Linked DNA regions of Arabidopsis thaliana. The protein of the gene in region 1 interacts with the protein of each later gene in a biochemical or structural test. Each region holds a gene or a part of one and is shown in the gene's direction. Other genes may lie near its edges.

Evidence for each region.
Region 2: the proteins of AT5G28300 (region 1) and CAM1 form a complex in vitro, tested with the Arabidopsis thaliana proteins (one study listed by BioGRID).

Annotation. Positions count from the first base shown.
Region 1 is NC_003076.8:10,291,479-10,297,258, reverse strand, and holds AT5G28300 (Duplicated homeodomain-like superfamily protein), read left to right. Parts: upstream 1-1,975; 5' UTR 1,976-2,157; coding exon 2,158-2,552; intron 2,553-3,005; coding exon 3,006-4,470; 3' UTR 4,471-4,980; downstream 4,981-5,780. UniProt on the Arabidopsis thaliana protein: Probable transcription factor that binds specific DNA sequence.
Region 2 is NC_003076.8:15,003,842-15,008,087, reverse strand, and holds CAM1 (calmodulin 1), read left to right. Parts: upstream 1-1,882; 5' UTR 1,883-1,970; coding exon 1,971-2,046; exon of another isoform or gene 2,047-2,158; coding exon of another isoform or gene 2,159-2,203; intron 2,204-2,663; coding exon 2,664-2,741; intron 2,742-2,945; coding exon 2,946-3,319; 3' UTR 3,320-3,561; downstream 3,562-4,246. UniProt on the Arabidopsis thaliana protein: Calmodulin mediates the control of a large number of enzymes, ion channels and other proteins by Ca(2+). Among the enzymes to be stimulated by the calmodulin-Ca(2+) complex are a number of protein kinases and phosphatases.

The DNA of each region.
Region 1 (5,780 bases):
AAGAAAAAGAGGTGCACCATAAATAGGTGGACCTGAGAAGCAGATGAGTAGAACTTAAAAGACAAAATCAATGGGGTCATAAATAAACAAATTGTAAGAAATAATCATAATAAATTAATAAAAGAGAGGACCCAGTTCCTGCATGTATTCACGTGCCCTGCCATTCTCGCTTGCCGTTTATTACACTATCATCTGCATCTGCTTCTGCATAGGATTCTAATGTACCTCCAAAATTTCTATATTTATTTTTCCAAAAATATTATAAAGTATCACAATAATGACAAGAACAATTGATGTAAAAATAAGACAAAGCACAATTAATTTATGTATATTTCCCTATAAAATAATGTAATTGTACATGTTGGTAGTCTCTAGAGATGAAAAAATAGATCACTCGTACCGGATGTTGTTTGATACTCTATCTGGTTTATATTAAGTTATGCATTTGTAGTAAATTTTATTGTTTCAGATTAAATGTGGCTCTCAATATTCTATGTAGTGTTTCTTTTCTACTCATTTATTGTTATAATAAAATAATAATTTTTTTTGTTTAAGACTTGATTGTTTGATTGATGATTATTAAAATTTGGATACTCCTTTATTTTATTTTTGTTAACCGGGGAATATAATATCAAATTCCATACTAATTTCAGCTTCCATTTCAATAAAAAAAATTTACCACTAAAAGCATCTGCCGATGGTTAAAATATGGAGAGCAAGATTTTTTCTGAAGCATTTGAAAAATCGATTCTAGCCTAAATTCATAACTACACACCTCAAACGGTACTAATAGTCCATCATATCTTGTTTAATTATAATAATAAGCTTTTGGAAAATGAAAGACTATCATCTAATAACTTAATTGATTTTGTTGTAAGAGTTGTAATAAAAGAAGTTTAAATTGTTGATTACTAATGATTAATATAACCTATTGGTTGTCACTTGTTAGTCGACTGTAAAAGTCTGTAACTAAAAAAATAAAAGAGTCAATTTATATATATTATCAATTTATACTATGTTTAAAAGAAGTAAATATTTTGTTGGCTAATAAGAAGTAAAAAATCATTTGTTAGTGGATTTTTTTTTTTTCTTATTTCCATATATATCCAGCAATTTAGTAGATACCGGAATATCAATAATTAACCTATGCTTTCGTAATTATTTTGAAGTATGAATTAAACATTTCGATCATGCCCATATTTATCCTATATTTCTAGGACAAAAGTATAAAATATGAATCTGAGAACCAGCTTTATACTATATATTATTTACTTAATATTTATAGTATTCAACTATACAAGTATTCCTTTAATGCTTAGGTTTCACTTAATTTGTTTGAGCATAAGGGGTGGCTATAACATGGGCTAAATGATTCGATTTATTGTATTTGGACAAAATGTCAGTGATAAATGAGAGAGAGGTGATGTTTGGCGTTTTTAGTAATATTGTCTTTGTCTTTGCCATTTTGTAAATTGAATTTTTACACATATAAAAAATAACACTCACTATCAGTCAATTATTATGCAAGAAGAACAAAATATAAACTTGGACTATATACGCGTGTTTATCTACACGGTAGCTTTTGAGTTAAAAAATTGACTTGTAATTTCATTATATGGAAAGATAAGAATAAAACATATAATGCTACTAGATACATTCGATTCAATCAGAAAACAAATTTGTTGATATTTTTCATGTAAATTAGGTCTAAACTTTTGCATTAATATGAGAACTGGATCGTGAGACTCAGAATCATCCTTGAAAATCTCAATTCTTTTACTTGGCAACTATATATGCCAAATAATTCAAGAATGGTTCGAATATTCTCTATAAAGTTAGTAGAACAAAAACATAAAAAAAGGTTTTAAGCATTCACTTTTATTCTAGGAATTTTTTTTGAACATATATATACATAATAATTAACAAAACGGAATCAAATCAGACAAAAGAAAATAAAATACATGGTTAAGTAGTTAATAAACAATAACTATTCATTAATGGTTAAATACCAACCACAGATATTTTATTTTTAAATAAATATAAGGTCTTGCCCTCAAAATGACAAAAAAAATAGCAATATAAAAAGAGAGACTAAAAAAGAGAGTGAAAAGAGAGATTTCGATGTGAACAAAAAAAGAAGAATAAGAATAAAAGAAAATGTTTGATGGTGGAGTACCTGAGCAGATCCACCGTTTCATAGCTTCTCCACCGCCACCGCCTCCGCTTCCGCCGCATCAACCGGCGGCGGAAAGATCACTACCTTTTCCTGTCTCATTCTCTTCCTTTAACACCAATCATCAACCTCAGCATATGTTGAGCTTGGATAGCCGTAAGATCATTCACCATCATCATCATCATCATCACCATGACATCAAAGATGGTGGTGCTACTACTGGTGAGTGGATAGGTCAGACGGATCATGATGATAGCGATAATCATCATCAACATCATCATCATCATCCATGGTGTAGTGATGAAGTTCTTGCTCTTCTTAGGTTCAGATCTACAGTGGAGAATTGGTTCCCTGAATTCACTTGGGAGCATACTTCAAGGTAATACATATCACACACATATATAAATATACTTCTTTATATATGCATCAACACATTTATATTTTTCTTCATATGCATATGGACATGAACATTAGTATTTATTTTATAAGAGTACATTTACAACAATTACAATTATCATGTTACTCAATTTGATTTGATAGACTAGAGATCTTTTTCTTTTGAATAAGCATTTTTTGGGATATTTAATTTTGATGTTAACAAATGATTGGCCATTAATAACTATTTATATTTATACATAATTGACATTTTTGTGCCATTTTAATGCATTTTTAAAAATAAACTAACGATGAAATTGTAAGATATCAATACATATATGTGTATATTATTGGTAGAAGTGTGTATATATATATATATGTATATTCGTATATATATATATATGTATATTCGTATTATTAATGACGTTATGTCGTTTATGAAATTATGATGTTGTAGAAAGTTGGCAGAAGTTGGTTTTAAGAGGAGTCCACAAGAATGCAAAGAGAAATTTGAAGAAGAAGAGAGAAGATATTTCAATAGCAACAACAACAACAACAACAACACTAATGATCATCAACACATCGGCAATTATAACAACAAGGGAAATAATTATAGGATATTTAGTGAGGTTGAAGAGTTTTATCATCATGGTCATGACAATGAACATGTTTCATCAGAAGTTGGGGATAACCAAAACAAGAGGACCAATTTAGTAGAAGGAAAAGGAAACGTGGGAGAAACGGTACAAGACTTAATGGCGGAGGACAAATTAAGAGATCAGGATCAGGGTCAAGTAGAAGAAGCATCAATGGAGAATCAAAGAAACTCTATTGAGGTTGGAAAAGTTGGAAACGTAGAAGATGATGCCAAGTCATCATCATCATCAAGCTTGATGATGATCATGAAGGAGAAGAAGAGGAAGAAGAGGAAGAAAGAGAAAGAGAGGTTTGGTGTGTTAAAAGGGTTTTGTGAGGGTCTAGTGAGGAACATGATAGCTCAACAAGAGGAGATGCATAAGAAACTCCTGGAAGATATGGTGAAGAAGGAAGAAGAGAAGATAGCGAGAGAGGAAGCTTGGAAGAAGCAAGAGATTGAGAGAGTTAACAAAGAGGTAGAGATTAGAGCACAAGAACAAGCCATGGCTAGTGATAGAAACACCAACATCATCAAGTTCATATCCAAGTTTACAGACCATGATCTTGATGTTGTCCAAAACCCAACAAGCCCTTCTCAAGACTCATCTTCTTTAGCTCTACGAAAAACCCAAGGCAGAAGAAAGTTTCAAACTTCATCATCACTATTACCTCAAACCCTAACTCCACATAACCTTTTAACCATTGACAAATCACTTGAACCTTTTTCTACTAAAACCCTAAAACCCAAAAACCAAAACCCAAAACCTCCAAAAAGCGATGATAAAAGTGATCTTGGCAAGAGATGGCCAAAGGATGAAGTGTTGGCTCTGATCAACATTAGAAGAAGTATCAGTAACATGAATGATGATGATCATAAAGATGAGAACTCATTATCAACATCTTCAAAAGCTGTTCCATTATGGGAAAGAATATCCAAGAAAATGTTGGAGATTGGGTACAAGAGAAGTGCCAAAAGATGCAAAGAGAAATGGGAAAACATCAACAAGTATTTTAGGAAGACAAAAGATGTTAACAAGAAGAGACCACTTGACTCAAGGACTTGTCCTTATTTTCACCAACTCACAGCTTTATACAGCCAACCACCAACAGGGACCACCGCCACCACCGCCACCACGGCCACGTCAGCCAGAGATCTAGACACCCGACCCGAGGAAAACCGGGTTGGATCCCAAGATCCTGATATTTCTGTACCCATGCATGTAGATGGAGATGGTGCTGGCGATAAAAGCAATGTTCAGTTTTCAGGTTTCGATCTTGAGTTCTAATAAATCCCTTCTATATATATATTATCAGTTATATTCTCTTTTTCTGCTTTTTGCTAAAACCTCATTTTTGGTTATTATGATAAAGTTATTATATATGAATAGTGTTACTGTTTTAATGCTATTAGTGGGAAACGTATCTTGACGACTTGGTCGACCGTACACGTGCACCGACAAACAGTGAAATTCAGTTGAACTTGAATAAACTACTGGTTAAATTCCTATTAGTATTCTAGCTTTTATTCTCCATGAATTTCACGTATACGTGAAGAGATCAGGTCTTTCAACAATAATCAAAATAAATAAATGCAAGGAAAATAAATATTTTTGTGAATTAGTAAATTAGTTACTTATCTGGTTTCTATTTACTATTTAGAGGTGGAAAACGGGATGGGCCAGCAAATTCAGAAAATAAATAAATCATGTCTTAATTCAATTTGAAGTGCAGAACCAGACCGCAAAAAAAAAAAAATAATAATAATACAAGTCGTTTCATTCTTTACAATCTTAGGCAAAACGTAAAAAAAAAATGTTGTCTGATTTTACATGTGATGTTTTTGTATGTTTTTAATATTAACTATTTCTTAGTAGACATATTATATTGTTGTTTTCTAGGTTAAAGGGAAAGATAATTACTTTTCTTCTTAAGTTCTGTTTATTAATGCAAAATTTGAAGCTTTGTCTAATTTGAAATTTATTTTTCTAATTATAAAAAAGAGAAATTTGGGCTTATAACCTACAAAAATATTATATATTTAAAAAACTAACATTCCAAAAAAAGTAACTTGATATTGTTTGTATTTTCTGTAATAATGACAACGTTATTCCTGTTTGAGACACACGCTCTTTGTCTTCTCCTTTTCGCATGAAACAAATTCTTCTCTCTCACCAACTCTTAACTTTCAAACAGAGTTTTGGCTCTAATAAGTTGGGGCTTTTACGTATTTGGGGTACATTTAAGTCCAAAAACTCTAAAAAGAGTACTTTTTGTTGGGCTAATGGAGATGGACACATTCTGCTATAAGAAATAACGATTTTGCCCTCATTCTTCTTCTTCTTCTTCATCTTCTTCTTTTTTATTCTTCTTTCCTTCTTTTTTCTTTCTTCATCGCTTCTTTCTCCTCTTAATATTCCCAAAAAATTTCAGTTTCGTTTTTTTATTTCTTTTTGTTTTTAATCACACACCTAATAATAATAAAATCTATATCCTAACGGATAGTACAAAAGGAACCCAAACAAAATAATTAAACCCAATGAATCCCCATTAAATTTGTTTTGATTAGTGAAATCTAAACCCTATCAAGAGTATAGGG
Region 2 (4,246 bases), 4.7 Mb from region 1:
CAAGTCCTAATTGTTATTGTTGTTGAATTTGTGTTTCCTAAACCTATCAGGACTATGACTAGTATTTTCATTATATATAGACAGAACAAACTAAACCTTCTAAACATTCTATCACTTCAAATTAAATCGATCGACCATTAGTTCAACATATAGAGATGATATCAATGAATCGTCTATCGATTCTCCTTTTTGTTTTCGCCTTTGGTCTTACCATGATGAGTAACACAGCCTTATCGTACAAACATTCCGTGTGGATCAGAAACTTTCTTCATGAAAAAAACGATCTCATAATCCATTGCAAATCCACGAACCATGATATGGTATACCATAGGTTGCATCCAACAGGATCGTACCATCTGCTAGTTGATGATGATTCCGACTATTTTTGGTGTCATTTATGGCAAGGACCTAATTTCAAGCATCACCAAGTTTTTGGTGTTAACCATGGAGACGTATGGGAAGCTAGGGAAGACGGAATCTACTTCTCGCAGATAAAATATGCTCGAGATCTCCGTCAGCATGTGTTCATGTATGGGTGGAATGTTCCTTTGACCTTGTCAAGAGCTTCCTCGTTGGGATTGTGTTGTGTCTCTTTAAGCTTATTACTCTCTTCCTTGGTTTTGTTTTATTTTTATCTAGTTTTAGTTTTGAAATTTATTTTTTTTATTATGAATTTTAAAAATTTAATTTTTATTTGTGTTGGAATTTTTTTATTTTCTTTGTAACCTATATGAACTTGGATATTTTTTTTCTTTCTTACATTAATTAAGTACGTAAGTTTCGACAATCAAGAATAGGGTTTTGTTGATTCCAATCGTGTTACCCAAAAATTAGAATAAGGTTTGTCCAACAATTTATTAAATTTGGTCTTAGAGTTGTATACGAGCCTACGAGGTATCTTTTAGATATGCCGAAGAGATGGTAGTGCGAAGAAGAAAAGAAACCTCATTTTCCATGGTATTAAGGATTTCAAGCTATTCAAACTTTTGTAGTGACCCAAATACGTGTAGAACTGGCCCAAAGACAAATAGCTTAATTAAGATTATCACCTAATCTTAGGTATTGGTGATAGGTGATTCGCTCAAGCCTTATGATCAATATTAGCTCCATATTATGGAGAGTGAGCAGCACATACTCGTAGATAGAAAAGTATTGTTGCTCGAGTAATATTTTTCTGATGATAATTGTGTTTCGACCACTGTTGGCATCTTTCACACATGAATACATGATGTACATGTACGACATGCAATCTTTCTCTTAACGCTCGACTGCTGTCTGCTGTGATGGATCATCACAAGTAAACTTTGTGAAGCATATTTCGTGAGCCAAATGATGTTAGAAAACAATCGTGTGAGCCAAAGGCGTGAGAGCGCTTGTAGAAAGTGGTTTATGTTGTAGTTAAAATAATCCGAATATTCATCTTCCGGAAAAAAGTGAAGTTCAACCTCTCAACGGTACGTTTTTATACCTCAACTAAGTTACATTGTGTATATCAACATCAGCTAACTTTTTATTAATATTTCGGTTCACAATATCATTATCTTTTTCAAAATTTATTAAGATTTCTTTTGCTCATTTTATTTATGTGAATTTTAAAAATAAAATAATTTTTATAATATAGAAACAAAATATTACTAAAAGTAATTTTTAAAAAATAAATAAAATTAATGTCATATCAACGAAAAATTCATAGTTTATTAAAGTAGTAAATATAAAAGTAATAATATTTTAATTATTTTGGTATTAAATTATACACTTTTATTAATATATGTATTTTCTTCTAAAAATTAAAAATTAATTGGGTTTTTGTTTGGAATTTTTCCGACTTACCTTTTCTCCTTCTTTTTGTCGTTTTGCTTAGATATTTGTTTGCATCATTTTCAAAGAGAGACGACTCTGAATCCAAAAAAAAAAAAAACTCATTAAGTAAAGACAAAGGAAGAGAAGAAAGACGATTTCTCGAAGAAGCTATGGCGGATCAACTCACTGACGAACAGATCTCCGAATTCAAGGAAGCTTTTAGCCTCTTCGACAAAGATGGCGATGGTTAGATTACCTCTTCTTTTACGCCTTTGATGGTTACATTACTGGATCTCGGTTTTTTTTCCATTTTCGTCTTCTATCGATGATTTAGAACGGTGTATCTCGTCCTCCCGAGCTTTGAATATGTGTTTATTAGTCGCTAATCTCTTTAGATTCGGAGGTATTGACCTTGTCGTTTGATCTGTTTTTGATCTTTGACCGAGTAGTTTCGCTTTTTGATCTTCGATGGCTTTTTGTATATGATTGAATCGATTTAATAGCTTGCTTGTTGTCCTGTTTCGTTGATTTGCTAGCTTGGATCTGATTTATTTTTTCGTCTCTTACGTTTTGTTTGATTTTTCATCTTCCATGATTGTTTTGGTCGTATGTGTTTTCGAGTTTGCTCTTAGTTGATAAAGAATCTGCTATCTTTTTTTCTTCGAAGTTGTTAATTATCTGAGTTTTTTTTTGTGTTCTCAACAATTCTACCAAAGAATGGGAAAAAACTATGTGCTTAAATGTGATTTCGAATCTTTTAGAAGCTTTGATGGTTCTTCTTGATCTCTCTAGGTAGGTTTCAAGGTCATGTTGCTCAGATTTTCTCTTGATTTCTGAGTTGTTTGTTATACTAGTTGATGTAGTGTTTGTTCTCTCTGATCTAGGATTTGATTTCAAAAGATTATCAAATTGTTTGGAAACTACTCCTGAATTGTCTCATGGTTATATCCTGCTTATAGTAGCTCAATTTGTGTAGATTTGTTTGTTCACTCTTTAAGAGATAAGCAAAAGATGTTCATTCGCTTTTGCATCTATCATTGCTTTTACCCATGACAAAACTGCTTTATCATTGCTTCCATTGAGCATTTGAGTATAATATGTGATGGGTTCTAAAATGTAATGCTCTCTTAATTGTGGTTACACAGGTTGCATCACAACAAAAGAGCTGGGAACAGTTATGCGTTCACTAGGACAAAACCCAACAGAGGCTGAGCTCCAAGACATGATCAACGAGGTTGATGCAGATGGAAACGGCACTATCGACTTCCCCGAGTTCCTGAACCTGATGGCTAAGAAGATGAAAGACACTGACTCCGAGGAAGAGCTAAAAGAAGCCTTCAGGGTTTTCGACAAAGACCAGAACGGTTTCATCTCCGCTGCTGAGCTACGCCATGTGATGACCAATCTTGGTGAGAAGCTAACTGATGAAGAAGTGGAAGAGATGATCCGTGAGGCTGATGTTGATGGAGATGGTCAGATTAACTATGAAGAGTTTGTCAAGATTATGATGGCTAAGTGATTTGATAAAGGTGATGATGATGATGATGATGACCTTTTTATGCTTCTAGGAGTTTAACCAAAAACATTTGCATGATTGGTGGAGATATGCTTTTAAACAGACATAATTTGTTTTTCGTTCTTTTGATTTTCTGGTTTGTGACTTTTGTGTGTAATGGAAAATCAAGTAAGTTGGATTGAAACCGATGGGTTGGGTTTTTACTTTTTACCCACATTTTGTTGCTTTTTTGGTTTTACAAAAAAAGAAGAAGATAAGAAATAGAGATGAAAAATATGGCTTTAAGCTGAAAAAATTAAGTACTAGTTAAAATTATAGTTATATTAAAATGTTCTCTTTCTGATTTACTGTTTTAATCATTTGAGCCACTCGTCTGAACTGTACGTCTCTATACGTGTGTACGTTAGCCACAAAGAAAATGATTCGCGGGCAATCACTTCCAAATTTGTGTCTAATCAAACTTTTAATTTTCATACGACAAACAGAGGTCGCTGAAAATTTAGTTTTAAGTATAAAGTGCTTTTCTTTTGTCAATTAGTTTTAGTATAAAGTGCTTTAGTGTATTATTTATTTGGATACCAAGTTGAAAATTGATGTTGGACTAATAGGAAAATGACACATGTAAAAACACGAGGTTGGTATTATGCCATTGGCCACCATAAATTGTCGTGAAGTAGTAAATTTCAAGACAAGTTTTAAATTAAGATTTTGAACAATACATTCATATTTTTAGTAACTTGTTATTTATACTTAGACTATATAATTAAGTATTCGATCTATTTAAATTTATATTAAGACATTATTTCCCAAAAAGTGTGAGAAATCATATATATGACAGGAGCTCAACTCTCTCCCACAATATTACACATCAGCACATGAAAGGAGAGGTTGCCACCTACACTTCTTAAAATAAGTAATACATAATTAGTA